4 linked regions of the Tamandua tetradactyla genome follow. The protein of the gene in region 1 interacts with the protein of each later gene in a pairwise test. Links are inferred from orthologs where the notes say so. Each region holds a gene or a part of one and is shown on either strand. Other genes may lie near its edges. The genes, in order: TNIK, DPYSL2, MYT1L and NEFM.

Region 1 (7,506 bases):
CCTGTGTTCAAATTTTCTCCGCTTATAATGACTCCAGTCATAAGGATTAAGGCCCACTCTGATTCCATTTGGCCTTGAAGTAGGATCTTCGGAGTTCCTATTCACACATGAGGAAACACCTTAACAAGCAGTAACATCTTCAAAGGTGCTATTTGCAAATGAGTTCACACCCAGAGGACTATGGGATTAACATGTCTTTTGTGGAGGGCATGATTCAATCTTTGTGGTAGGCTGAATTATGTACCCCAGAAAAAAAACATGTTCTTGATCCCATGCCTGTGGCAGTGAACCCATTGTAAATGGGACTTTTGAAGATGCTATTTTTAGTTGAGGTGTGTCCACCTGAATCAGGATGGGTCTTCATCCTGTTTCTGGGGGTCTTTAAAAGAGAAACCACAGAGAAGCGCCAGAATGGAGGAGCTAGAAGTCAGAAGATGAAACGCAGGCATCAGATGGACCTCAGAAGAGACACTGTCATGTGATGGGAAAGACAAGGCACCCCAAGATTGCCAACCTGCCAGAACAACTACCCATCCCACGAGGAAGCAAGCCTTCCAGTTTACAAAACCATGAGACAGTGAATTCCCATTACTAAGCCAACCCACTATGCATCTACGTCATAGCAACCAGGAAATTAAGACAATTTCCAACAAAAGGCTTTATCTTCACAGCTTAGAACTGTATCTTGCACAGAGTGAGCAATCTGTATATTTGCTGAATGAATCAGAGAATGAATTACTGCAGTTCATTGGTCACTCACCCAAATAAATGTGCCTAATCCTAGATCCATTGCCCCTAAGCTTGAAGCTGCCCCTGCTCTCACTCTAGTCCGGCCCCAGATGGTTTTTGATTGTGGCTCCATTGGTAATCCAGTCTTGCCTGTTTTATGTAACCTAAGAAATCCTCTGAGTTTCCGGACTACTGGGGCTGCATTTTTGTGTCTTCTAGAACTATAATGAATTTTTTAAAATATCCTTTTTTGTTATATCTAGGGATTTCTGTTATTATAGAAGATGCAGGGAATATGCTTTTAGAAGGTACACAAGCGGTATTTCAGATCCCCAGTGTGATTTTAGGTGGTGCATGATTTGACATTAAATAATACTGAACCTAAAAGCGAGAACATTACCCACTTAGGGATTTTCTTTCTTTTTTATAAATATTTAAAAATATATAAACATTTTTCAAATATACAGAAAGAAAAAGAACAATACCATGAAATCTGATCACCAACCATCCCGATTTAACAATTCCAAACAATTTATCATATTTGCTTGAGGTCTTTTTGCTTTTTTAAGACAAATTAAATATTGTTGAAGCATCCTTTGTGCCTTCCCATTTCTTTTTCCCTTCTCACTATGCTAAGGCTGAGCTGTCTCCTTTCTGCCTGTGTCCATGCTTTTCATAGTTTACAACAAATTTATATGGACATAAAATAGCATGTAGTATTTTTCTGCAGGCTTTCAAATTGTACATAAATGGTATAAATTCTCTCAATCTTCCAGACTACACCAAAGAGGAAAATTGTACTTTGGTTCACGTCTTGAATGCCTTTTCTGGCATTTACTAATCTCTCTTTTAACAAAGTGAAAGCAGGCCTCAGCCTAAAAGCCCGGGGCAAGCGATGATAGCTAGCTTCAATTTAATAATATTCATTTATTTTCCATTATGTTTATTTTAATTGTTCCTTTCTATTTTTTACCAAGTGTTGCTAGCTTTCCATGTACCATAGTGATTTATGTTTCCTTTTAAATTAATGTAAGAAAAAAAGTAAAGTATTGATTTAAAAAAAAGTTTAGCAATAATAACAGTACAGGTATACACAGACCTGACAATAAGTTACAAAGATTGTACTGGAGTAGCTGAAATTTCATACACACTTGACCTGGAGGATAAAGTTCAAGGTCCTCATTTGAGCATGCAAAGCTCTGCCTCATCTGACCTCTGCTTACCTCTCCAGTCTTTTTAACAGTCACCAGCCTTACTTTTCTTCTAGCAACACATCTGCTTAGAGTTTCTCCTCATCTTACCCTAACAGCTGGCGGTGCCTTCGCTATTGTGATCATCCCCCTTGTATGGTATTGTCTGCAGCCAGTATCCCCGCCTCCTCCTCCCCTCTCAGCTCCTCTCAGGCCCCTAGGACGCCCTCTACCTCACCACTGCACCGAAAGCAGAATTTCCTAACCAAATTCTGAATCCAAGGATAGAAATTTGATGCCCGTTATCATTGCACACTCATGGCCTGGACAGCGTACTAATGCCTAAAGAAGCGATCCGTTTGTGACATTTTGAATAAAATCTGGGTAACAAAATCAAGATGCTTTATGGAAAACAAACAAAGCAACCACATCTTTACCCCATTTTTTCCTGTGTTGGAGGTTTAAAAATAGTTCTATTTATAGATCTCAATGTCTGATCCTTATTTTCTTTCAACATGAGTCAATACATTAATTTTCTAGATGAAGGACAAAAAAAAGGGGACATAGGAGGGAAGAACAGGAAGATGAGAAATGAGCTTTTTCTTTTTACGTCATTTCGCAGAGCTTGGGGGCTTACTGCATGTTACTTACTGCACTGAACCGTGTGGTTGTGTTAGAAAATGAGAGGTCACAACAAGCGCTTTGAATATAACACGTTAATACGCTTGAAAATAATGTTTAAAGAGAAAGCTCCCAAACAAAACTGTTATGAGATTTTAGAGCAGCTTTCAAGTTTCATACTGAATGATCCACAATGTATAGGAATAAATACGATAATATTAACAAAAACAGTACAGCACACACCAATGTTGTTTAAAAGCCCCCTAATGTCTGGCAGTCAGGCTGAACTAACTGGTTTGGCTTCCATTCATTCAGTCAAGATCCTTACTCGGAGGAAGCTGAAATGCACACCACATGATTTCAAAGTCCTCAGTGCACTTGGCCAGAAGGAAATTCTCTTCCTATCAGAGGTGCAGAGAATATTTCCAAAGTTACTACTGTATTTGGGGAAAAAGTTCAGTTTAAAGCGTTTTCTTCTTAAATATCTAATGGAGCGTGGCCCAGGCCTGAGAGGAAGGGCTTGAGGGAAGTGATTTCACACCCTCGATTACAGAATGCCAGGATTACCACTGTAAACATTCGGCCTTGCAATGAGAAAGCGAGTGAAGGGCAATTGTTCTCACGCGTACATCTTGCCTGCTAACATTTTATCCTCCGGCCAAACTTTCTCCACTAGTTCGGATAGGTCAGCGGAGGAAACGCTGGCTGAAAAAGAAATGCAGAATCTTGGGGCAGCGTGCGCTGCCTCAGCCAGTGCTGCCTTTGGACAGTTACCTGGAGCACAGAAGCAACTACAACCTAAGCACAAGCTTCTCGGTTCAATTCGGTCGTTTCCGTGGGGGAACTGCGGCAGGGGCAGGTCACGGGTGTGGCGAGCCCAAGCCGGAGCTACGATCTCCCGGGTTTCCGGCTTCTGGCAAACGTCCCCTGCCCCGAAGCGGCGGGGGACAGGCCATCCCACATCCCGGAGACCGCCGGAGGCCCCGAGCCACAATCGCTGCAAACTGCCAAATGGGGCTGGGCGCACTGTATGCGCTCCTCTCCCTACTCGCTCGCAGGCTGGAGGCGGATCTCCTCTTCCTGCACACAAGTCCTTATATGAACCGGCTGCACCCACCGCGTAACTCCGGCCCCACAAATTCATGATGGGGGAGGGAGGCCGTTGCTCTTTCTGCCTCCGACTTTTGTCAACGCCAGAGCATCTTGAGACCCGCCGAGAAATCCCAGTGTGCGATGGCACGGGCCATTTTGCTGCAGCGCACGAATCGAACACAAGAAGAAAGCCTTGTCAATATGATAAGCACGTCAGGGTTCAGGATCAGCCTTTGGGATCCAGCCCGACGCGCCCGCGAGAGCCTGGGCGGAAGGGGTGCACCCCTCCCCCCTCGGTGCTGGTGCGGAGGACCGGTCAGGAAGCGCGACCTCGCCCCATTCCGAGACCACGCCTCCTCCGCGTCCTTCCCCCTCCTCCCCTTTACTCCTCCCAGGAAGCGGTGATCGACAGCTCGGTGTGGTTCTCCACCCCCACCCCCAAGCTGAGTGGAGGAGTTGATGTGTCTCATTATAACAGCCAATGCAGCCGCCATCCACGCACAAGCAAAGAAGCATGCCCCATTTAAATACACCCACGCAGCCCTAGCGCCCTTAGCCGATCGGGGCGCTCAGCCCACACGCACCGCGGCTCCGGGCTTGGAGATCGGCGCAGGTCGCTCCCGGACCCGGCGGACAGGCTCGCCGAGGATCGGGATCCGACGCTGTGGGGGGTCGGGGTGGGCGGGGGAGGCTGGGCCCGGGGACCTCTGGCGCGACCCGCTCATGAGGACGCGAGTGAAGTAGAACCGAGGTGGAATTTGCAAGGGAAAAGCTTTGAGGTGGTTTTGGTCCATTTTTCCGGAGAGGAAGTCGACATGGCGAGCGACTCCCCAGCTCGCAGCCTGGATGAAATTGATCTCTCGGCTCTGAGGGTGAGCAGAACGCGTTTTCCGATTTCTTTCCAGTGGTTTCGGGCTGGGTGAGTGGGCTCGGTGCGGGGGCTGGGGCTGACGGGCAGAGGCAGGGAATGGAACCGGCAGGGAACTTGGATTGTCGGTTGGGTCCGGAGACTGCTAAGGTGCTCCGGGATGAGTCGCGGTGGCAGGGACCGTGCGGTACGTGTCCTCCTTTGGCTGTGGCTCAGACTTCTGTGAGAGCGCGTGGACCTTATGCCAGTTTCATCTTAGACCAGTGTCAGAGCATTAAAATGAAAGACTTACTGGTGTGTGTGTGTGTGTGTGTGTGTGTGTGTGTGTGTGTGTGTGTGTGTGCACGCGCGCGCGTACACGCCCAGGGCAGCCGTCTTGTGCCAAGGCGCGAGACCCGACTATCCCTTTCTGCAAAAAGAATGATCAACGGCGTGAATAAAAGGCCCCTGCTCCTCGCGTTTTGCAGCTACCTGCAAGATGACATTGTGTGCATGACTGTCCCCACGAAGACGAACCTGCTGCCCTAAGGGGCCAGCGATTGCTAGGCTGGTCTTGCAGCTGGCCCCTGCCTCCCCTCCCCGTCTGCCTCCTGAGCCCCGGCACCCTTTCCGCGCTCCGGGAAATGTCATTCTGCCACTCACCTTTCTGTCTGCTTTTCACTCAGCCCCGCCCGTGCTTTCTGACTTTGTGGCTGTGACAATTTAGCTTGATGGCTGCACTCAAGCAGGTGAACGGCAGGTCTTTTTCTGCTACCACCCCCACCTCCCATCGCGCCGGAACTCCCGGGAATGTCTGTTTTCCTTGTGTCTGGGGCCAGTTCTTTGTAGCGCCCCCCCTACACCTTCCCCCCCACGGCCCCGGCCCCACTGGTTTGCCTTTCCCTCGGCGCGAATTGCCTGAGATGCCGTTCCATTGTATTGACTAAGACATCACTGGTACAGAATCCATTTTGCTGTTGTTTTGAGATAAGAAAACCAGGAATCCCAGTGCAGCCTCTACGCTTCCCCACCCCCCACTCCCAATCCCAGTACGGTCCTCAGGGGAAGGGGGCAGAGCTTTCTTGCCATTTTAATTAGATGCTGCCTGCCGAGAAAAGAGTGAGGAGAAGGATTGGGCACCGATTTATGGACGATGGCTTCCTCTTCTGAACCAAAAAAAAAAAGCCACTGCATGTACTTGGTGCATTGGAGGGTCAATGAGACCGAATGGATGAGGGGCTCTCAGCACAAACACGCAGGGTGGGTGACACACTGAAGTTCACACATGCCCTCGCAAGGAATATGCCGTTCAGACTGATGCTAAATCTTGGGCCGTTTACCTGACTCCGGAGTTCTGACTTTGCTTCGGTCTCCACGAATATTTTAAAGAGTTCCCACTCTGATCAAAGCGGTTTTATTTTTTTCTTTAGCCTCATTAATCCCACTCTCTCCAGCCCCCCCCCCCCTTTTTTTCTAACTTCCTTCTCCCACTCTAAATTCTTCAGTCCATGAGGTGAGGTTTCAGCAAGGCAGTCAAGGAATTGAGAGGGAACAGAGATGCCATTTGAAACTGGCTGTTCTAATAGTTGGGCAGCAAAAGCTCATTCATGTGCCATTACAGTAAGCTGTTTCTCTGGTGCTGAAATGCCACGTTCAGAACCCGCTGTCCCCTGGGCAGCTGCGGGGACTGGGGGCTGGGGAGTGGGGAGGGAAAGACGGAGGTTTCTTAACAGGGTGGGTGCTTTGGCCAAGTCTGTGGTTTCCTGCTTTAGGGGCTGTGTGTGTTCATTCGCCCTACTTTCTGCCCCAGGCATTGCTGTGGCCGCGGTTAATCAGGTGGATGGGTGGCCCAGACTTGGGGGCGGGGGAACAGTTCCTGGGGACAGGAGCTGAGCTACCGGCAAGGTTGGTGATGTTTAGGAGGCTGAATCTCAGACACCGCTCCTCTAATGCAAAGCACTCCGCTGTGATTTTAAGTTGGGCTGAGATGTGTCCTCCTGGGATTTTTCCTCGGGAAGATTTTCTGAGACACCCAAGCACAGAGCCTGGAGGCTACCAGCAGCGGGTTCACCCAGCCAGTGGGGTGTGCGGCTCACACTTGGGATACCTGCGCTTGTGAAATTTGCATTTTGCAAAGGTATTTTTCCAATAATACCTGTGTGTGTGAAATTTGTATTTTGCAAAGATATCTTTCCACGATTCATTGGTATGGCTCTTTGTGGCCTGCCTGCAGTGCCAGTTTAGTGCAAAACTGGAAAGGGGGAGGGCAGTAGCACCAGAGATTGAGAAGTGCTGGCTGGTGGTGAACTTCAATGGAGATGGGAGACAGTCACATCCCCGGGTGCTGGGGGCAACCCACAAGTCTCGTGGGGGCATACAAGCCAGGAGAGGGTTTAGAGGCCACACAGGTAATCTCCCCAAATCAGAGGGCAGATCGTCGCTGTCTTTCCAAATTAGGAGAGGTGGGCTCAGCTAAATGAATTTGTTCCCCAAGATCTCAGAAAGGCCTCTGTGCCAGAAACCTCCTGGGGAATGCCTGACCCCTGAAATGCAGCCAAGGTCAGTGGCTTCTGGGAGAATTTGCTGCAGCCTTACCAATCCCTTGCTGTTTCTGTGGCTCTCTAATGTACACAATCAATGCTCTTTTTGTAAACCCTAGGCTCAATGCATTAAAACCAGCTCATGTCTGGAGAAGGCTTTATCCTCATTTTGGGGGTTTATTGTTCTCAGCCAGTGATCCTAGAGCTGGACCCAGTCTAATTTTTCCCTAAATAGTAACAATGCATAATTTAAACCAGGGCAACCAGTGACAGCACTTATCATTTAAATTATGCAAGGTTTGCATGGTTTTAAAAAGTGAGATGAAGCAGGATCTTCTTTAGTTAGAAAATAGATCATCTGAATCCGGTTTACTTAGTCCTGATTTTTAGAGCTCACAAAGATAAACTAAGTCTTGGGGGAAGCAGGGAGAGTGTTTTCATAGATTCAAAGCTGAAAGAGAATGTAGAGCATTCAGTCACTCCTTTT
Region 2 (8,053 bases), on another chromosome or scaffold:
GGTTTATGACTCACAATGCCAGGTACTCAGAAAGCCTCTGCTGATTTGAGAAAGGAAAATAGATGATAAATAAATACTAAACTATTTCACAGAAGATGTATTTTCTCAAGTCAAGTATTTTGTCTGTGGTATAAATTTTGGTGTATTTGATGTATTTAAAGTAAATGTGAAGTACTGGTACTTCAGATTCCTTTAGGCTTACTGTCTAATATGTGGAATCTTATCTTTTGTTATTAATAATTTACATAGGGTTCAAGAAGCGCTCAGATATTTTTTTCTTAGCAAGACTTGACTTAAATGCCTTGGATTTCCATCCAGTACATTAAAAGAAGGAAACAATGAGAAGGCCTCAGCCTGATAAAGGGACTGTCCCTAGGCCCACTTGCTGTGGGTCCTGCTCCAAGCTGTCCTCAGTTGTCTGCCTCATCATCCTGATGGCCAAATCCATCCCCATCAACTGGATCCTCAAGGTACTCATTTTCAGAAGAGGCCTCTTCCTCCTCTTCTTCCTGTATCACTTTCACTGACTCAAGGAAACTGGGGGATGGTCCCTAATCTTTCAGCTCCCTAAGCCGACACCAAAGTATTTCACTAATGCTAGCCCCAGCCATGACTTGTTCCAAATGGACCTGATGTGCAACATTTCTAGTAATCGTACGTTTTTCCACAGCTCTTCGGAGCAAGGTTTCTAACTGTAGCACGTAGGTGGAGCTTTTTCTCCTTCCTCCTGATAGGTCTTCAGATATTTAACCTATGAGGTCCTGCGGCTCTCCAGGCTTCCAAACACTAGTTTAAATGCCTCCCAACACTCCCCCACATTTATGGACGGATTGTCTGCCTGCACTACATGTGTGAGGTCCATCACGGAGCCACACACACATCCCATCAGCCACCTTTTCTTTTCTGCCTGTGGTACCTGCCATTCGTTGACAATCTTACTGGCCTGTTCACTGAGCTATCAACATCTTTCTTAAGCTCTAACAAGACAGCACTGGCATTATCCTGCCGCCTGAATATTTTCCCAAGCAGTCTATACCTGCCCAGAGACTTGACAGTGCCCTGAATCTAAGCTTCATCACAGTCCACTGGTGTCCCCATAACCAGCAGTGATTTCTGAGCATCCAGACTCATTATCCTGCACGAGTCCCCTAACAGTACCAATGCCATTGTCCCAAATATTTATTAAAGCTTTAGGATTTAAAAAAATCCAGAATGAGCTCCCACATTTATAACCCACCCATGAATGGGTCCCACGTTGGGTCACTCTAAAAGCTGTCTCAAAGTCTTCTGGACCAATAACTCTTACTTGCCCAGTGGCAAACCAACAAACAAAAACTCAGTACTTCCTGTTATGTCTCTAGAACTGACCCAAGATGGGTGGATTGTATCTCACTTATAACAGTGTCCCTTCCTGTGGCTCCGCAGTCCCATTGCTGTGGTTTCTCTCACTGATGCTGGCAGACATGTAGTGATGCAGATGCTTCTTTGATCGCTGATATACTTGAACAGGTGCTTTCACCAATGCCTCCGGGTCTCTGATGCTTCACCTCTTTCTACTCAGCGGTGAAACATCTTCTGTACTGAGGCACAGTCTAGTTTAGGATGCTAGTAGGGGTTGACCAGGGATCTGCCTCACATTGAACTTCTATCTAGCCCACTCTATCAGACCCCTTCTTTGCTAATAGTGAGTCTTTTTTCTGGGGACCCTCCTGCAATCTGCTTCCCCACCAGATGCTCTCACCAGACATGCCTATTACTGTCTGAGCTCCAGTTATGGAAAAGATTCAAGATCTTTCCCACATTAACAATAAAATCAGTTGATGTAGTTGGATAACCGTTCAGGTGTTCCAGAATGTTCTGCGAATCAAGAAGCTTATTTATTCTGCTTCTTGCACAGGAAGGTGTCATGCAACTTTGTATGATGGTGCATCTCAGTCTTAGCTCTAGTCAAACTGCCTGTTTCATATAAAGAATTACAATGTATTTTTATGGCTCAAAAATTTCCAATGATGAAGACTGTTTAATACACTTATTAAAGAGGATGACAACTGTCTGCAACAGATATTGAATTGCTTGATTTCTTTGATTAAAAAAATACCCAGTAAGGAACTGTTCAAACATTTAACAATCATACGAAATAGAAATAACAGGGAAAAAATCTCAGCATTAAAGAAGTTAAACTTGGAATTATGAATGGATTCTCTTTTGCTATGTATGGTCAGGTTTTGCAAATGCATAACTAGGTGTTTCTTTTGCTATGACTGGTACATTACTAGCACAACACTAGGAGCACTCCTAGCACTTGAACTTAAATGGGTCATTTGAATAAAAAAAGAAAAAGGTAAGAAGCACATCAATCATGCTTGTCTTGGAGAATGAGGAAATAAAAAACAAAGAGTTCCTAATGCCTACCAGTTTCTACAGTGGAGTATGTGCGAAGGTGCTAAAACCATCATTCCTTGGCATGAAATCTCCATCAATCTGTGCAGGGTCCTTATGCCACAAATGTCAACCTGTAGCTTTCGCTGCTGCTGTTCCTGCACCAGGCATATATCTTGAGTACTTCTGGGAGGTAGTGAAGACACCCTGACCCTAACTCTCTGAGCCTCTCTGACCTCTCTTTTCCATGCCTCACTTTCCCGTTCAAAGACATGGGGAGAACATCCTCCTCCACTGGAATATTCAGAGAAGACTCTGGATGTAAAAAAGTCATTGAATGCCCAGGAAGAGATATCCATCAGGTCTAAGTAATAACTAAAAGGCTGAGATTGTACTACCTTGAAATGGCTCCTCCTCCCAAAGGCAATCCCTACCTGCAGTGTGACCCTCACATGGAAAGATGGCTAGTGAAAAAAAAACGCTATTGATAAATAATAGGGCCACGGATGGAAATATCTGGCTATGGGAAAATTTTTAAAGCCTTATATTTTCTCACATAGTTCAAGAATGAGGAAATGAACTAGACTTTCAGGTGGAAAACCCTCAATGCAACTGCTGTACCATTTAACTGGGTATTAACCATGGGTAAAGTCCCTCCACCTCTCTAAATTTCAGTCTCTTAACCTGGGATATGGTCAGGATTCACTGGTCCCACTCACCTCCCAGGGGTGCTGTAAGTAGGAAACCATGATTCATGTGAAAGCACATGCAAAGCATATTCCATGCTAAGTCCAAAATGCTTGCCTGCGGTTTTCTCACTCCTTCCTCCACAGGTCTATTCTTCTTCCTCACTCACTCCTTCTCATTCAGAGTCTCTTACCCAACGTCATAGTGGGCTCCTCTTCAAACTGTGACTGGATGCCCTCCAAATTTAATCCTATTCACCAAACCGTCATTCACAACGGAGGTGGGGAATCGGTATTCTATCGTTCCAGAGGCAAGGAAGGATTATCAATGGGACCCAGCCTGGGCTCCTGCCTGGCACAAAGGGCGTGTACTAAACCGCTTCTTTTAGCCTAAACCCACCCTGATTACTGAGCATGCCCAGTTCTCCCTCCCGAGCCGCCAAAGGATAGGGTACCATTTCTGCAAGATTTGCCACTGTGGAAAGAGGGGCGGGGTTGCACGCGACCAGAGGCTAGGATGGATGGCGAGTAAGCAGTGAAGAGCCCGCGGAGGCCTTGTTACTGGCCCAAATCAAAATGCCCGTTGGAGGCTCACCAACCTGGGGGCCGTTGTTGGAACATCCGCACTTCCAAATTCGTGTCTGCACGCCCTCCCCACGCTTGACCGTACACAATTCAAGGCATTCTCTCACGCCCCCATTCCCCACCGCTCAGTGGACGCGGGCGCGAGCACTCAAGGCGGCGCCTGGCAACCTGAGAACCCCGCGGCGTGGCGCAGTGCGCAACAGGGGCGGGGGGAGTCGAGGCGGGTGCCGGGGGCGCGGAAGGGGGCTGAGGATTTAAGGAGTGGGCTTTGAGGTGCATTTGTTCCCGCTTTGGTACAGGTGGAAGATGCCAAAGAAAGGCACTCTTCTTAGCCCTTCTTGGCGCAAGGGCATAGATATGGCACATGGCTCCCTCGGGCACACAGCGGCTCGGCACCTTCTCTCTCTTTACAAATCGCTGCGCGCGAATTTGCAGACTGCGCTCTCTGCCGTACTCGCACAGACTTCATACAGTCATTATACTCCCCTCTGCTACGCCCCTCGGCATTTGTCCCCGCCATGTTGTGCGGCCCCTACCACTGTGGATGCACCAAGCGAGAACCTTCTCGCGTCAGACCCACCAAGGCCCACGGGTAGACCGAGGCTCTGGTTCCCCGAGCCTCGGATGGACGTCTCCTCTCCGCGCTGCCACCTCTTCCCCCTCCCAGCGCCGCCCCCTCCCCCGGATGTCCTGGAGCCTCCCAGTTTGTTCCTCTTTCCACATCCATCAGCTCACACCCCGGCTGATGGAGAGGGAGCCCTACCTTCCGCGTGCACTCGCCCCCGGCCCACCCCCGCGTTGCCGGGCAGGTGGGGGAGAGAAGTGTGGGGACCCAGGGGCCGCCCCCTCGGGTCCTCGCCTCCACGTGCCCTGCCTCCCGACTCACCCCGGCGGCCGAGAGCGGTCACGGGCCCTCGGCTCCGCATCCATTAGCCGGTGGTCCGGCCGCTTCACTTCCGGAGCGCGGGGCTCTCGGCGGCGCTGCCCTCCCCGCCCCCCTCCTCCCGGGCCCCGGGCCCCGCGCCCCGCCCCGCTCGCACCTCTCCTCCCGCCGCCGCTGCCCGGAACCAGCAGCCTCTGGCACCCGCTGCCGCAGCGGCCGCCTCCCGGGCCCAACTCCGCGGCTCGCGGGAGCTCGCGAGGCTGCGGGGGGCGTGGGCGGGGAGGGGGAGAAAGCGGGGTCAGGGGGAGGGACTGTGAGGGGTGGGACGCCCGCGCGGAAGCCCTCCTTCCTTTCTGTGCACCTTGCGGTAGGCAGAAAGCGACAGCCTCGGTAGCAAGCAGGGGGTTTTTGTACAGAGAGGGGGAGATTTAGGGACCGGCAGACGGACGGACGGACGGACTGGAGGAGAGCATCCACCCACGAGCCCCCGCGCCATGGCCGAGAGAAAGCAATCCGGGAAGCAGGCAGAGGACGAAGAGGTCCCTGCCTTTTTTAAAAACCTGGGGTCGGGCAGCCCCAAGCCCCGGCAGAAATTCTGCGGCATGTTCTGCCCGGTGGAAGGGTCCTCGGAGAACAAGACCATCGACTTCGACTCGCTGTCGGTGGGCCGGGGCTCAGGGCAGGTGGTGGCTCAGCAGCGGGACGTCGCCCACCTGGGCCCGGACTCGCAGCCGCCGTACTCCCGGCAGGGCCGGCGCGCCGCGGGGGAGCCATCTGTTGAATCGGGCCGCAAGGTGGAGATCCGGCGGGCCTCGGGCAAGGAAGCCCTGCAGAACATCTACGACCAGGTTGGTATGGGGGGTGGGGAGGGGAGGGAGGACGGGGCGCGGTGGGGCCTCCCTTCCTTCGTCCCCTTCCAGCTCGGCGGAGATCCGAGAATCCCAGCGTGCCCCCTTCATGCCCCCCTCCCCCCACCTCTAGTGTGGCCTCCCCGCATCTGCACACACACCCCACCCTACCCCGCCCCTTCGCCACCCAGGGTGCGGGGACGCTCCGGCTCAGCGGTGGGCGGCTCTCCGCCCACAAAGGCTGCCCGCATCCATCTGGGCCTGGGAGATGGTGTTTGAGGGGTACAGGACCAGCCGATCCCCGGCTTGGGATCGCGTTGTGGGGTGGGGTTGGGGAGGGGTCGCGGTTCTATTCTTAAATCCTCCCGGGCGGCTTCGGATTGCAGCTGTGGCTGGTGCCCCACCCTTTTTTGCTGCAGCTCGGAGCGGGCAGTGGAGGGGTTTCGCATGAAGGCCTGCGGGCTCCCCCGAGGTCGGGAGGGGCCGGCACTCAGAAGGCCGCTCCCCACCCCGCCCTGCTTTCTCCTGCCCCACCTTCTCGGGAGCCTTCTGAGCTCGCGTCCAGGACCATGGCCAGCGCCTCCCTGGCCCGCCTGGGAGACTCTCATCACCCTAAACTCCTGTTCGCAGCATGAGAAGAGCGAGGAAGGATGTGGAATCACCCGAGGATACCGAGACGCTTCTAAATAGCGTCTCTGGAGAACAGAGTTCCTCTAAGTATCTCGACAAGGGCTTCCCAGAGCTCTCCCCATGCCGCGATTTGGGAGGTTCTTTGGGGATAGGGACTAAGTGGATTATGTCAAAGGATTAAAAAAGAAAAGAAAAGAGGGAGAGACTTACATTTCTAATAAATTGTCGAAGAGAATACCCTATACGGTGTTAATGGGGAAACAAAGAAGGCCAATTTGGTAAATCTTGATTTTGGGAAATACCTATCGCTGTCCGACAGATATGCGCAGTGTGCATTGTAAATGCAGCAGTCTTCTCACACCACAGTTTTTTCTTTATTGGGGTGACCTTCATAATTGTGCAATTTTTTTCACAGCCTTAATTTCTTAATTGATGCTTTACTGTTTAAAATATTTTAAAACTTGTTTGTTGTTTCTCTCCCATGCCCATTGGTTCTATCTAGCTTTTGGTGAAGATGAGAACTCAATCAATGAATGATTATTTATTGAATACCTTGTCTTGTGGGGCAGAAGGAAGGTCAGCTATAAAAAGTTCAAGTTAGTTTCTTCTCCTGGAGGGGCTTCTAGAGTAGTTGGGAGTGGCCTCTGCATATTCACTAAGGAGTTCCACAAGCATTTGTTTGGCACTCAGATTGTATGCTTACAGTGAAAGCATTAGAGAACAATTAAGAGTTGGTGATATTGGCCCTAAGGATGATACTGTTTCTTGATATGGCATGGCATTTTGCACTTTTTCATTTATTTGGGATTATCTCCAATTCTAGGAGAGATAAAGCATTTGCTCTCATTTTTTAAAAGGTGGGGCAATTAATCACTTACTTTATTCCTTGCCCCGTCCTCTGATTTACTCAAATAGGGAAGGATCTCATATCCATGCCTCACTGTGTATCAACCAGATAAACATAAATCCAAAACTCTGTTCCAAGTAACTATACAATTAAAGTAGAAGTTTCCAATAATGTAACATATACTGAAAACTGTGTGTGAAATACTCCCATATGTGAATGCATTGGGTAAGGGCCAAGGTCATACAGCATCATGGTTGTATGAGCATCCTTATGCACATCAACTTGTGTCGGTAAATCCAATATCCTAGAGGGAGCCAAAGAATATCTTGGAGAATAAGGAAGAGATCATTTAAAAATATGGCAGATGGAGGAATATTGAGGATGGCTGACCCTACAATGTTGGCTGTGAAATAAAACACAAGTTTGAAAGACAAAATTTCACTGGGTTAAAGAACACATCTTTTCCTGTCCATTTAGAAGCTTAGATGTTTGCTCATTAGATCTACTTGTTTGAACACTCTCTAAATTAAATAGAAATTTTGAATCGTAAACCTAAGGCACAGGGAGAGGAGTATTTGAAGAGATAATATCTGATCAAAACCAAGGTAATTTTAGCCTTTGCAAACCCATACTTGCTTCTGTTGCCTGGATATTTTGTAACAGAGGGTGATTCTGGCTTGGTCCTTCTGCAGCTCTCCCTGAATTTTAATTTTCAATCTTGCTTTATAAGCTCAGGACCATTCTCATAGGACTTTTTTCACTCACAACTAAGAGCACTTATTTGGACCAGTGATTACAGTGTTTCAATATTTCATATCTTTATAAGAAAGAAAAGTTATTTGGTGTGCAGTTGTGTATATGTGTATAACTATATTAATTTCCAAAAGCGCAGTTGGGCCCACCATTTTGATGGAATTGACTAATTATTACTTAGCTTTCAGTTAATGAGATGGCCATCCATGATTCAGTGCATTCCTATCAGAAGGCCTGGTACAGAGAGAAGTGGGAGAAAGCTAGAGTGGGGAATATGGGGCCCCTGACTAATAATCTCCCTCCTCCCCTGAATCTGGGTTTACAGGTGTCACTAATATCTGCTCAGAAGAAGCTTTGCCCGTCTGTCATACTTGGGGTCCTGCTCTTCCTTTAGCAAGGCTCCGTGAAGGGAGGGAAGAGGCTTAGCCCAGAATCCACGTGT
Region 3 (7,304 bases), on another chromosome or scaffold:
GTTGGCAGTTTTTCTCTTTTAGTAATTTAAATATATCATCCCACTGTCTTCTAGCTTCCATGGTTTCTGCTGAGAAATCTACACATAGTCTTATTGGGTTTCCCTTGTATGTGACAGATTGTTTTTCTCTTGCTGCTTTCAAGATCCTCTCTTTCTCTTTGACCTCTGACATTCTAACTAGTAAGTGTCTTGGAGAACGCCTATTTGGGTCTATTCTCTTTGGGGTGCGCTGCACTTCTTGGATCTGCAAATTTAGGTCTTTCATAAGGGTTGGGAAATTTTCAGTGATAATTTCTTCCATTAGTTTTTCTCCTCCTTTTCCCTTCTCTTCTCCTTCTGGGACACCCACAACACGTATATTTGTGCGCTTCATATTGTCATTCAGTTCCCTGATCCCCTGCTCAAGTTTTTCCATTCTTTTCCCTATAGTTTCTGTTTCTTTTTGGAATTCAGATGTTCCATCCTCCAGTTCACTAATTGTAGCTTCTGTCTCTTTAGATCTACCATTGTAAGTATCCATTGTTTTTTCCATTTTTTCTTCTTTGTCCTTCACTTCCATAAGTTCTGTGATTTGTTTTTTCAGATTTTCTATTTCTTCTTTTTGTTCAGCCCATGTCTTCTTCATGTCCTCCCTCAATTTATTGATTTGGTTTTTGAAGAGTTTTTCCATTTCTGTTCATATATTCAGCATTAGTTGTCTCAGCTCCTGTATCTCCTTTGAACTATTGGTTTGTTCCTTTGACTGGGCCATATCTTCAATTTTCCGAGCGTCATCCATTATTTTCTGCTGGTGTCTGGGCATTTGATCAGATTTCCCTGGGTGTGGGACCCAGCTGGTTGAAAGCTTTTTCTGTGAAATCTCTGGGCTCTGTTTTTCTTTTCCTGCCCAGTAGGTGGCGCTCGTGGCACTCGTCTGTCTGCACGGCAGTCAGCCCGGGAAATCGCGCGTGGAGGCGGGGGTCGCTGGCCGCTGCAGCTTGGGAGAGTGCCGGTCCTAATTGCCCAGCTGGCCCGAAACGCCAAGCGTGACGGGAGGGCCCCGCTATCCAACGTTCCCAGTCAGACCGGGGAGCCACGTGCGTGGAGGGGACCCCAGTCGCCAGCAGCCCCGGCCGGGAAAACGCGCGCCCCTCGGGTATCTCACCGCAGCAGATTCTCCCTGCCCGTTCAGCTGTTCCAGAATGGGGTACGCTGTCTTTTTGGTCTCTGTCGTGACTCTGGGAGCTGTTTCGTATTGTTTCTGTTTCTTTAGTTGCTTTTCTGGAGGAGGAACTAAGACCCGTGCATCTTACTAAGCCGCCATCTTCTCCGGAAGTCCACATTATGTTTCTATTGGAAAACATTGATCTAGACCAATTTTTCTTAAACTTCAATGTGCATGTAAATCACCCATGAATTATATTAAAATGCAAATCTGATTCAATATCTCTGGGATGCAGCCTGAAACTCTGCATTGCTAACAAGCTCCCACATGATGCCAGCATTACTGACCCTTATCCTGCTTGGATGGCTCCTATGTAGGATCTCAAGAGTAGAACGCAATAGAAGACAATGGCATTTTCAGTCCATAATTAAGAAACAGAATTCCTGCTTTGTAGTGTATTGAAAGATAAAGCAGGACTTGCCCATTATTACAAATTAATGAGGCCACACATTTAAAACACATTATTAAGATGTTATTCTTTGAAAAGTTTCTTCCACCTCAATATTATAAAAGGACAGGTAAGTTAACAGTGCCAAGAAGAGCTCATTTTTATTAGTCTATTTACTCATTTGATTCCTGAATGATTTAGAATCCAGAACAATTTAGTTGTAGGTGCATGGTGTAGGCAGAAAAGAAAATATTTCTTGAGCTAGAATAATAGAGTGTTTAACATGGAAAAGGGTCACCTCCACATGGATGGCTCAGAGAGTGTTTTAATGAGTGAAAGAGGATATTGCAAAGGGAAGAAGACAGGCAAAAGATGTTGCTTACAATGTCAAAAAAGCCATGATGAGAGGTAGACCGGAGAAACACTTATACACCATTAGCATGGCTCAAATCTTGCAGAAACAAGCCTTCAATGATGCCTGTTTGTGAGCACATGTCTTCGTGTTCTATATTAACATGTTTTTATCTGTCATAATTCTTAGGTACAAGTGAAGAATCAAATTGGGTCATTTAAGGAGAGAAGGCAATTGATTTCAAAGATATTGGGAGTTCACAGAATCCCCAGAAGTGAAGAACAAGGCAAAAGGACTTTACAGCTGTTATCAATGTCCCACATCACACAATTGGAAAAGTTCAGTCGGTATATCATCATTGCATCCTCTATGCACAAGCTACAAGCCTCATTCTAGGACCTCAGTCTTGATGCAGAAACTGCTGCTACCAGGGAGTTCTCCCCTGCCACCTACCAAAATTTATGATGGAATTCCCCAACAAAGGATCAAAGCAGAATAAATGTCCACTATGTTCTATTCTTTATCTGTCCTACATCAACATACATCCTTAAAAACTACTCTGGTGTATCTTAGCGTGTTTATCTCATGCACAAATTTGCCCTCACTCTCCTCAAAATGTAATAACCTGAACACATTGTGCCCAGCTCCAAATGTAGCACTTCTAGGTTCTCTTCACCCCTCCTCTAGTTCTGTCATCGTTCTAGGTCAATATGCTTTAAACTCTAGACTACCAATGTAATAATATTATGGGGAAAATGTAGAAGAAAGTGGAAAATTAATTAAACTATATAAACATTCATTTAACCCAGCAAGGAAGAAAAAATAGAGAGAAAATATATTTCTTGTTTCTATAATTGTCATAGTTGATGTTTATAACACTCCCACTCTTCTAGTAAGTCCCTATTATCTTTGCCTTCAGCCTCCACTCCAGCTAGTCAGAGTTATTTATATTACAGTATGACCCAAAATGTCTTTACTGAGAGAGATGAGTCCTGAGTGTTCAGTCTGCATAGGACAGGTTTAGAATTCCTTTAGCTTTTACCACTGAACATAGCATCATTAAAAGATGTCCCAAAGAACCCCCTTCATCCATTTATATTTCTCCTTTCCTTCTTTGCTAGGTAGCAGCCATTCTGTATTCCTTTAATAATTAAGAACTACCACCTCATCCAATGCCTTAAGCCCTATTTTGTAGGGAATACAGGTAAAGCATCTTGCCCTTCTCTTTGTAGACAAAACCTAGACATTCCCCAGAAAATTAGACCTCAATAACTTAATAAGGTGTCATGTGACTGCATTTCCATTGAATTCACCTCCCAGTCTCTGGTACACTTATATCTTACCAAGAAATCTAGAATGAATTCTAAGCCCCACTCTCTACGTCCTTCGAGCATTATGCTATTGCTAAAGTGGTTCAGTCCCATGTCCTATCAGATGGATAGGTGATCAAGTTGTCTACAAACATGAAGAGTTAATTTAATCTGGTACAAAGCCATGAGGATATACTTTTGTTCCTAAGATAAGAAAGAAAGCCACTCTTATTGATACCCTCTTATTGGAATAAAATCCATTTTCTTGTGTTTGGAGCTGTGTTTGTTTGCTTGACTACAGAGATTACATTCAGAAGACAGTCCTCAGTTAAGGTCCCTGTCATTCTTCAAGACCCCACTGTCTTCTGTATTGGCCAAACCAATGAATGAAAGGAAATAAGATAAGCATCTTCAGGTCTGTTTCTTCAAGACTTTGTCTGGACACTAAAATGCACGATTTCCCCAGTAATGCCATAATGCTTCTGATTTACTATTTTGTTAATCCATTTATTAGGACTACAATGTAGAGATTCTACCAACTGCTAAATGTATCATTCATCTCTACCCTTAAGAAATTGGAGAAAACATAGGAAGGATTTAAGACTCTTCTGAGCCTGTCCATCACCAGTGCCTCTCAACATAAAGTCTTATGAATTAGATCACAGAGATACAGGCAAACTAGTGTACAATAAAGCCCATAACGTCCTCAGTATTACAATTTTAGTTAGCTATAGACCTTAGTTTGCATTAATTGTATTTTTCCATACAACATCTATGCCAGTTTGAAACTGTTGCGTAACCCAGAAAAGCCATGTTGAAAATTTAACCCTTGTTGAAAATTGTTGGGTGAGGGCTTTTTGATTAAGTTGTTTCCATGGAGATGTGATCCACCCAATTGTGGGTGGAACCTTCTGACTAGGTGGTTTCCATGGAGATGTGTCTCCACTCTTGAGGTGGGGTTGCTTACTGGAGCCCTTTAAGAGGGAACCATTTTGGAAAAATCTTCTGAGCCAAGAGAGACAACAGAGCCAATACAAGACCCAGATGAGTAGAGATGCCCCTGAAAGTAAATGCCCCTGGGGAGGCTGTTTGAAACCAAAAGCTAGGGACCCCAGCAGACATCAGCCATGTGCCTTCCTGGCTTACAGAGGTGTTCTGGACCCATCAGCCCTTTTTAAGTCGAGTTATCTTTTCCTGGATGCCTTAGTTTAGACATTTTATAGCCTTAGAACTGTAACCTTGTAACTTAAATTAATAAATTCCCTTTTTAAAAGCCACTCCATTTCTGATATATTGCATTCTGGCAGCTTTAGCAAACAAAATGCCATCCCATTTTCCATATGTTTTAATTGTGATATTCATTTGTTCTCCCTTATGTAAAAAATTTCTTATACTTGTACATTTAATCAACATTATTGTTAACACTAGGTTTTGCTAAACTATACAGTCCCAGTTTTCATTCTCTAGCTTTCCTTTTGGTGATATATATAACCCTAGCCTTCCTGTTTCAACCATACTCACACTCAGCCTTGCTAATTACACTTACAGTATTGAACCACCATCACACAGTATTATGCTATCAATTTCTGAACATTTGCAAATAACCTTATTGGACATTCTGAACTCTTTAAGCACCGATTGCAAATCTCTGCTCTCTTTTTATCTCTTGATAACCTATGCTCTTCAATTTAAATCTCAGAGTTTCCTCATTATAGTTAGTTCATTTTAATAAGACCAAACAGAATTTGTCGTTTTGTTTCTAGCTTATTTAGTTCAACATAATGTCCTCAAGTTTCATCCATATTATTGCATGGATCATAACCTTATTCTGTCTTACAGCTGCATAATATTCCACATATGTACGTATAACAATTTGTCCACTTGTCAGGTGATGGATATTTGAGCTGTTTCCATCCATTGGCAAGCATGAATAATGCCGCTATAAACATTGGTGTGCAAATGTGTGTTTGTGTCCTTGCTTTCAGTTCTTCTGAGTATATACCTTGCAATGGGATTGCAGGATCATATGGAAATTCTATACTTAGCTTCCTAAAGAACCGCAAAACTGCCTTCCAAAATAGCTGCACCATTCTACGTTCCCAGAAATAGTGAATAAGAATGCCTACTTCTCCACATCCTCTCCAGCATTTGTAGTTTTTTTTTCATTTTTAAACAATTTTATTTACACATCATATAATCCAGCCAAAGCGAAAGATCAATGGTTCAAGGTTAATCACATAGGCATGCCTTCATACCACAATCTATATGAAGACATTTCCATTTCTTCAGCAAAGAATCCCATATCCCCCATTTACTGACACTTGGCTTTGGCATATTACCTTTGTTACATTCAGTGGAAGCACATTAAATGTTACTGTTAACTAAAGACCCTCATTTGCATTGATTATATCTTCCCATGTACCATCCAATTTTCAACCCCTTGTAATGTTGACATTCCTCTGTCCTTCCTCATGCAAAAACATCCTTATATTTGTACATTTGCCCACCATAATTATCCTCTCTAGACATGGTTAAGTAATACTATCCTAGTCTTTATCCTCATCTTTCCTTCTGGTGTCATTCCGGGTCCCCCAGCCTACCTCCTTCAACCATAATCAAACTCAGCTTCAATCAGTGTACTTACAATATTGTACTACCATCAGATAGTAGAATGGTATCCATTTCTGAATCTTCCTAATCAGTCCTGTGGAATATCCTATACTCCTTCAGTATCTAGTGCCCAATCTCTACCCTTTTTCTATCTCCTGATAATTTGTTTTCTCAACTTGAACTCTCAAACTTCACTCATTAATGTTATTTCATATTAGTGAAACTATAGTGTATCTGTCCATTTGTTTCTAGCTAATTTTGCTCAGCATAATGTCCTCGAGGTTTATCCATGTTGTTGTATGATTCTAGACCTTATCTTGCCTTACAGCTTCATAATAGTCCATCATATGTATATACCACAGTTTGCTTAGCCACTCATCTGTTGATGGACATTTGGGCTGTTTGTTTCCAGCTCTGAACAATCATGAATAATGCTGATATAAACACCAATGTGCAAATGTCCATTTGTGTCCTTGCCTTCAGTTCCTCCAAACATATGCCTACTAATGAGATTGCTGAATCATATGGCAATTCTATACTTAGCTTTCTAAGGAATTGCCAAACTGTCTTCCAGAGAGTTTGTACCATTTTACATTCTCACCAACAGTGAATAAGTGTGCCTCTTTCTCCACATCTTCTTCAGCACTTGTAGTTTTCTGATTTTTTGATAATGGCCATTCTAGTGCATGTGAGATGATATTTCATTATGGTTTTATTTTGCATTTCCCTAATAGCCAGTGAGGTTGAGCATCTTTTCATATGTTTTTGAGCCATTTGTAATTCCTCTTCTGAAAAGTGTCTGTGTTGTCTTCCCATTTATTAATTAAGCTGTTCGTATTTTTGTTGTTAAGTTATATGATCTCTTTATATATTCTGGATAGTAAACCTTGAATTGATATGTGATTTCCAAATATTGTCTTGCATTGTGTAGGCTGCCTTTTTACTTTTCTGGAAAAGTTCTTTTATGCATAAAGTGTTTAATTTTAAAGAGATCCCATTCTACATGTATCTATTTTGTCTTTCATTGCTTGTGCTTTGGGTGTAAGGTCTAGGAAGCTACTTTTCATCACAAGATCCTTAAGATATTTCCTTACATTTTCTTCTAATAATTTTATGTTCTTAGTTCTAATGTTTAGGTTTTAATCCATTTTGAGTTGATTTCTGTAAAAGGTTTTTACATATTCTTTTGGATATGGATATCCAATTCTACGAACACCATTTATTGAAGAGGCTCTTCTCTCCCAGTTGAATTGGCTCAACTACCTTATCAAAGATCAACTGCCCATAAATGAAAGAATCTATTTCTGAACAATCAATTCAATTCCATTGGTCATAATATCTATCTTTATACCAGTAGCATGCTGTTTTGACCATTGTAGCTTTGTAATATGCTTTAAAGTCAGGTAGTGTAAGACTCCCACCTCATTCCTCTCTCTCAAG
Region 4 (7,453 bases), on another chromosome or scaffold:
GTGGATAAAGCCAATGTGTCCAATTAAGAGCATGCTAAACTTTAATACAGTAGTTATGTTTTTTTACGCATTAGTACCGAACTGTATTTTGAGAATCAATTTTAATAAGGCTATATTAAATTCTCTTTTAAAATTCTAAATCCTCCTCCTCTGGCTTTCACAGAACTGATTTCATGGTGGTAAGGTGAAGGCATTACACAGCAAAAAATCAGCAAGCTCTGTTAAGCTGAAAGCTTTAGCATAAAACATGAAATTTCCAGATATAGAATTTAAAAACTGATTAAGTTTTCATTTGGAAAAAATATATAGATATAAAATGCTTTCAATTTTTTCAAAACTTCACTTAACTTTCCATGAAAAGCCACTGAAAGAAAAATAAGGCAATGTTCAATTAATAAATCATTCGGCAAGGGAAACAAATACCATTTTGGTAGTTTAATGTCAGAAAAAAAGGACACTGTGTTTAAAGACAATAGGGACATGCACGTCCCAATTTTCCTGAGAAAAAAATAGCCTTTCTCCCTTAAGATATTTTTATTTTGCTTTCAGCATTTAAAATCAAAAAGACCAAAACTCAAAAGCTGCTTCTAAAGTATGACATAAAAGGCTAAAGTAGAAATAAGTATTACAGGTTTTTTTCCTTACATTCCTACTCCAGCAGACTGAATCTCTAGCTTCCTATATCAACAGTCCTTTAAATAATTAACAAATTACAATTTATAAATGGTTATTCATCATGAGTTCCAGAATCAGATCCAAGCAAAAGGACCAGGTTCAATATATCACAGGAGGCTAGAAGAAAGTACAGATCAGTTAATCTTGGACAGAGGCATCCTACCAGTTTTACGGTGATTTCTTCCATTGGAACATCTTGCTTGTTGCCCGGTTCTCACATCTCATCCTCTTTGCATTTACATGTATCAGAAAAAAAAATTCATTAAAAAGAAATTTGTGGAAGCAGGAGAATAGGGAAGAAAGTGCACAACTCCTTATTTTTCCATCTTTTATCTTGACCTAATGAATAAACCTCTTATGCAAAAAGTACTTTCCCATTATTATTCAATGAGACCCAAAATAAACTCACAAACTACAAGGTTAATATTGTACTTTACCTGCTTCTATGTGTGAAGAAACACATAGATTGGAGCATGCTGTGTATTTCTCTATAAAGTGATTCAAAACAGACTGTAGCTTATGAAACAATCCAGAGATGATTTCATTTTAAATGGCTCCAATCTAAGTTGCACATGTAACTTCCCTACTTAGAATAAATTTCAAAAGTATCATAGCCAACCAACTCCATCAATACAATGTTGTAAATTAAGATAGAAATCCCGTGTTTATTTTCTGTCTTGTTAATATACTCAGAAGATTCCATAATCTTAATGACATTAGGGTAGCAAAAATGCTAAACCTTACATTTCTTTCTATAAAAAATATTAGGGTAAGAAGTGTTCATAAATGTGGGAGAAAAGAGGAAGAACGTCTGTGAAAGCTTTTTTTAAAAAGTTTTTACACTAAATTTATTGATGGGTATAACCTTCAAGTCACCTTCAGGAAGAGTGGTGGAAGTGAGTCTAATATAAAATTAAATATTTTGCTAAGTGTGGAGTTGGATCAATCCTTTTCATGCCACTAGAAGTTTTTTCCTTAATAAAATGACTGTTATTCTGCATTATGCTGTTGTGCCCTGACTGAACAATACTAAAGTACTAATTTCTGTTCAAGTTACAACTTTAAGCTATAAGCAATAGATTTAGCCTGAATAATTAGCTATTATTTTGTTTGTATGCAATGCTTACCTCCTTCTGGGACCAGTTGGAGGCTTAACAACTTCTGAGTTAGTTTAGATACAGGCAAAACAGACTAATTGTGAAGTTAGACGTGTGTTTCCTTGTAAATGCTTATCTGCAGCGTCATCCCATTTTTAAAGCCCTGAAGAAAATTAACAGAATAAGCCTGTCGGTTAACCATGTGCTCTCACTGCAGAAGTGTTTTCAGTGCATGAGCAGCACGACATTGCCAAGGGTTTTTATGTTCTTAACATAAGTAACAAGTAACTAAGGTACAATAATTTATATCTCCTTTTTCAACTATCCGATTACTGCACAGTCAGCATCTGGCCTTAATTAAATGACCTCCTGCTGAGTCCAACCCTGTGATGGACAGTGCTTTACAAAAGACTTTTTTCTTTCTCTTTCCTTTTTGTATCCATATGAAACTAGAAAATCCTGTTTTTCTACCATATTCATAAATCAATCCTCTTACTGTGTCATCTGTCTCTCCCCACAGGAGACATGGGGTCATCTCCTTGCCGGAGTAACCTGCCACTAAGCAAACTGGAACATTCTTCCCCACACACAGGCTACAATGCTGCAGCTTCACATTAAGGAACCAAAAGTAGCTCCTTAAATTAACTCTTTCTATTTCAAAATATAAATGGGCCAAGATATCTGATTAAACACAAAAACAAAAACTTTCACCAGATATCCAGGCCTGTTAGGATTACTTACTGATTAATATCAACTTGTCATTTAATGAAACAGGGACCAGACAAAGCCTGCAGTGAAAAGAAGGTAGTGAAGTCAGGAGTCTCTACTTTTCACAAGCTGTGGTTTCTTCTCGGCCACAGAAAGCATTTCACATGCAGTCAATTGTGCCTATGCTCCCAACAAACACTGTCCTTAGTCCTGCATTTTATTTTTTGCTTGGCAGTATTATGAACTTTTCACTTCCAATTATCCCCAAAGCACCACCCAAAATAAAGAGACAGTTTACCTGTTAGCAGTGCATCAGACAGCAGGAAGTCTGTGTAGATATTTTTTATTGAAATAAACATGTTTAAAGACATGGGAAATCTATTCCAAATCAGTTATTAACCTCTAAATGGGGAACTAAATTACATTCAAAAGAGGGAAAATACCTGGTTTTATTCAAGGTTTGCTGAATCTTTTTGGCAACTTTTTAATTAATTCAGATGCCTTTTCAGCCTTCACAGTTAGGTATAGTGAGTGCTGAACTGAAAGATGGCAAGGCAGTTGTTTATGATCAAACGAAGCATGAACTATATTAATATTACCCTGGACTTTTTATCCTAGCAGATTTTAAATCCCCTTTTCAAGGAATGCTTGACCTTCAAATTTGAGGCCCTATATCACAATTTTCTGCATTCATCGTATGTTAGGCAACTCAAAGTAGGCTACAAGGTTATTATTTCTAACTAACGAATTTCGGTTGTTTTCAAAATCCGCATCTGTTCATTTTGTCAACTCTGCATTGCAGAGAAGTCTTACTTAGCGTGCTCTCCCAGCCTGGCTCTCGCAAACAGAGCCACTACAGTCTTTAACTGTATTCACTCGCAGAGAAGGAGGGGAAACCCTGCCAACCAAACAGGCGATTCTGGGTGTCAAGCCCCCGGGGACGGCTAAATCTCAGGGCTCCCCAGTCTGGGAGCTGTCCTTGGTGCTGCCTGAGCCGTAGAGAGCCCGAGCGCCTTACCTTCTGCCCCTGCGGAAGCTGCAGACGTCCCCCACACGTTAAGCAGAATGTATCGCCATATCCTACTTTTTATAGAAATAATTACCCTAGCCCATTCTCTTTGTCCCCTTCCCTAACCCTTCGGCCGACCGTTCCTCAAAGTCTGTACCCCTCGCCCCTTTTCTAGGCCCAACTCCCCTGCGCTTACTCCTACCGCTTTAATAAAAAGATTGGGGGAAGGGGAGGGAGGCTTGTGAAGAAGAGGGTGGGGGAGGGAGAAAAGAAAAGGAGGGGGAGGGGGAGAAAGGAAAAGGGGTGGAGGAAAGAATAAGAAGCAAAAGGTCCAGGAGGAAGGGGCTGAAGGGTGAGTGGGACTAAGAAAGGCTAGAAGTGAGAGAGAGAAGTCTCAAAGGAGAGAAGTGATTAAGCACAGAAGATGGGCAAAGGAAAAAAGTAATGGAGAAAGAACAGAAAGAAGGAAAAGCCGTGAGGATAAGAGTGGAGAGAGCTAAAGAACAAGGGGACCAGGGTTTCTGGGGAAGAGCCGCCTGAAAGGCGGGAGAGATGACTAGACAAAGGAAGGGCGTTGGATGGATGTTCGCACCGAGAGAATAAAATGCTATCCGAAGGTGAAAAGAAAAGGAGGGAAGGAGATTGCGGGGCGACAAGTGGTCTGCAACTGAAAGGGGAGCTATGGGGGAGGGACCGGTCCAGGACAGCAAAGTCCCGGGTCCGTTGCGGCACCAGCCCACGTGGAGCCGGCGCTGAATCACCGCTAAGCCGCCCCCCTACCCCCACCCCCACACCCCAGCCCGGGTTGCCCGCAGTCTCCGCCTCCTCGGCCGCCGCCTCCACGGGGCGGGGCCCTGGCCCGGGACCAGCCGCCGCGGCTATAAATGGGCTGCAGCTAGGCCGGCAGAACGCTGTGACAGCCACGCACCCCAAGGCCACCAAGATGAGCTACACGTTGGACGCGCTGGGCAACCCGTCCGCCTACCGGCGGGTAACGGAGACCCGCTCAAGCTTCAGCCGCGTTAGCGGCTCCCCGTCCAGCGGCTTCCGCTCGCAGTCGTGGTCCCGAGGCTCGCCCAGCACGGTGTCCTCGTCCTACAAGCGCAGCGCGCTTGCCCCGCGCCTCGCCTACAGCTCGGCCATGCTCAGCTCGGCCGAGAGCAGTCTCGACTTTAGCCAGTCCTCATCTCTGCTCAACGGCGGCTCCGGGCCCGGCGGCGACTTCAAGCTGTCCCGCTCCAACGAGAAGGAGCAGCTGCAGGGGTTGAACGACCGCTTCGCGGGCTACATCGAGAAGGTGCACTACCTGGAGCAACAGAACAAGGAGATCGAGGCGGAGATCCAGGCCCTGCGGCAGAAGCAGGCTTCGCACGCCCAGCTGGGAGACGCGTACGATCAGGAGATCCGCGAGCTGCGCGCCACGCTCGAGCTTGTGAACCACGAGAAGGCACAGGTTCAGCTGGACTCAGACCACCTGGAGGAGGACATCCACCGGCTCAAGGAGCGCTTCGAGGAGGAGGCCCGGCTGCGCGACGACACCGAAGCCGCTATCCGCGCGCTGCGCAAAGACATAGAGGAGGCGTCGATGGTGAAGGTGGAGCTGGACAAGAAGGTACAGTCGCTGCAGGACGAAGTGGCCTTCCTGCGGAGCAATCACGAGGAGGAGGTGGCAGACCTGCTGGCCCAGATCCAGGCGTCGCACATCAGCGTGGAGCGCAAAGACTACCTGAAGACAGACATCTCGTCGGCGCTGAAGGAGATCCGCTCCCAGCTCGAGTGCCACTCCGACCAAAACATGCACCAGGCCGAAGAGTGGTTTAAGTGTCGCTACGCCAAGCTCACCGAGGCGGCTGAACATAACAAGGAGGCCATCCGATCTGCCAAAGAGGAGATCGCCGAGTACCGGCGCCAGCTGCAGTCCAAGAGTATCGAGCTGGAATCGGTGCGCGGCACGAAGGAATCCCTAGAGCGGCAGCTCAGCGACATCGAGGAGCGCCACAACCACGACCTCAGCAGCTACCAGGTAAGAACCGCGGCTGCGTGGCCAGCCTGCGCCAGCGCCAGCGCCGCGCGCCCCCGACATTCGCGCGCGTGCCCATCGCCCTCTCCGTCGCGCTCCCTGGTGGCCACTCGCCTGTGAGCGCGCGCGCACAAACCCAAGTTAGTTACTGCGAGGTGTCCTCGCCCGTCCGAATCCCGACCACATTCCTCCTCCATCCAATCAAACCCTCTTAGTTAAGAGTCCTGACCTTAAATAAATAAATAAATAAATAAATAAATGCTTCTTTTTTTTTTTCTAGGAATTTTTAGTTTTGGGCGTTTAAAGTAGTCGATAAAGCAAGCAACTTTAGGATAGCTTTTGCAGAAACGCACGTATTCTCTGCTTTCAGAGTTTTGATCACAAGAACTCTCAAAACTGGCGTCGGTCCAAAGAGCTCAGATGGGAAGAGCAGTGTCAATCGTGGGTTTCCCCATGCATGGCATGTTTTTTTGTTGAGACATTCTAGTTTGAGTGGTCTCAAGGCATGGGTTAGTCCAGGAAGTCTTATTAATCTTGTTTCTTTGTGTGAGAATTATTAAAATCTGAGAATTCCTCAGATTTAAATAATAATAATAATAATAAACCTGTAGGGCGATAACCAAAAGATTTGCAACGCTAGAGGGGGGCGAGGGAGAGGGGTGAACGAGAGGAAGGAGTGAAAGGAAGCTGCGATTTGGAAGTATGGGTCTACAGAGACTCCCTGTACCTGTTTCAGGATACCATCCAGCAGTTGGAAAATGAGCTTCGGGGCACAAAGTGGGAAATGGCTCGTCATTTGCGGGAATATCAGGATCTCCTCAATGTCAAGATGGCTCTGGATATCGAGATCGCTGCATACAGGTACGGTCCTCACTGCGGACGTGGCCGCAATACCAACCAACCGCACTGCAGAGGCTGCGGGAGATAGAACCTTCACTACTTAAAACAGGCTGGTTGCGGGGGGCTTAAAGCAGCAACTGGTTTTCTTAATTAAGAACTTTTTTCTAAAGAATTGCAAATGTGGTTTTACACAGTTTACACACAACTTTAAAAGAATAAACATTAGTTGAAATAAAGTGTTCGGAATTACATGTAGGGGGGCTGAAGAATTTCACCGTTATCTTTAAATTTTGTATTTTAGTGGAATGTTTTCTACATATTTGAAGCATAAACAGAGATTTAATGTTCAATATTTCACCTGGTGGCTTCAGCTTTTCAACTTTATTATTGTGTCAAGGACAAATACCAGGGCACTCTATTTCTCTTTTTCTCTGTTATAGCTTACTATTGCCATCATCTGGCTGAGAATATAGATTGATACATTGCAATATAAATATATTTATTTTATAGGTATATGTAATTTAGAGGCATTATATAATATATTAGGCTGTACGGTATAGATGATATATCTAGCTATATCCCATATGTATGTGGGTACAGATAAATGTATAGAAAAAAGAGAAAATAACATGTCTACTAATGTAAATTTCCTATTCACTAAGTTCAAAGGGGAGAAACCCTTGATTAAATGGTTTTTATACTCTCAATAAGGCAATTATAATATTACAGAATAAATTACACTCACAGAGCTATCTTTTCAGGAAAGTAGAATAATTATATTAAATTGGCACTGTATGATTGAAATGACAGACCAATTTATGACTTGATACACACATATTAGTGCATAGCTTTAAACTGATATGGTTTAAGTCCTGGAATCTGCTTAGTATTTAAAATTTTTTTTGAATAATTATATTTGCTAAAAAAAATTTAGTATACATACTGAAAGTACAAATGCTCATGGAGGTTGCTAAGTTGTTTCTGGGCACTAGGGAACTTTTTTAGCATACTCATGTTGCACCAAATGGAATGCTGCAAGGTTATGACTTAGAGCTGGGTGTGGTACATTACTGCAGCAAGCAACTGGTTGATGGCCAAGGAGGA

Evidence for each region.
Region 2: the proteins of TNIK (region 1) and DPYSL2 interact in a two-hybrid assay, tested with the Homo sapiens proteins (2 studies listed by BioGRID and IntAct). The link is inferred for Tamandua tetradactyla from reciprocal best matches to the Homo sapiens genes TNIK and DPYSL2.
Region 3: the proteins of TNIK (region 1) and MYT1L interact in a two-hybrid assay, tested with the Homo sapiens proteins (2 studies listed by IntAct). The link is inferred for Tamandua tetradactyla from reciprocal best matches to the Homo sapiens genes TNIK and MYT1L.
Region 4: the proteins of TNIK (region 1) and NEFM interact in a two-hybrid assay, tested with the Homo sapiens proteins (2 studies listed by BioGRID and IntAct). The link is inferred for Tamandua tetradactyla from reciprocal best matches to the Homo sapiens genes TNIK and NEFM.

What each region holds. Positions count from the first base shown.
Region 1 is NC_135331.1:68,894,831-68,902,336, reverse strand, and holds the start of TNIK (TRAF2 and NCK-interacting protein kinase), read left to right. Parts: upstream 1-4,315; 5' UTR 4,316-4,447; coding exon 4,448-4,504; intron 4,505-7,506. UniProt on the Homo sapiens protein: Serine/threonine kinase that acts as an essential activator of the Wnt signaling pathway. Recruited to promoters of Wnt target genes and required to activate their expression. May act by phosphorylating TCF4/TCF7L2.
Region 2 is NC_135329.1:27,475,845-27,483,897, forward strand, and holds the start of DPYSL2 (dihydropyrimidinase-related protein 2), read left to right. Parts: upstream 1-4,897; 5' UTR 4,898-5,027; coding exon 5,028-5,381; intron 5,382-8,053.
Region 3 is NC_135329.1:46,579,815-46,587,118, reverse strand, and holds the start of MYT1L (myelin transcription factor 1-like protein), read left to right. Parts: upstream 1-4,245; 5' UTR 4,246-4,320; intron 4,321-7,304. UniProt on the Homo sapiens protein: Transcription factor that plays a key role in neuronal differentiation by specifically repressing expression of non-neuronal genes during neuron differentiation.
Region 4 is NC_135329.1:25,784,571-25,792,023, forward strand, and holds the start of NEFM (neurofilament medium polypeptide), read left to right. Parts: upstream 1-4,432; coding exon 4,433-5,512; intron 5,513-6,245; coding exon 6,246-6,370; intron 6,371-7,453. UniProt on the Homo sapiens protein: Neurofilaments usually contain three intermediate filament proteins: NEFL, NEFM, and NEFH which are involved in the maintenance of neuronal caliber.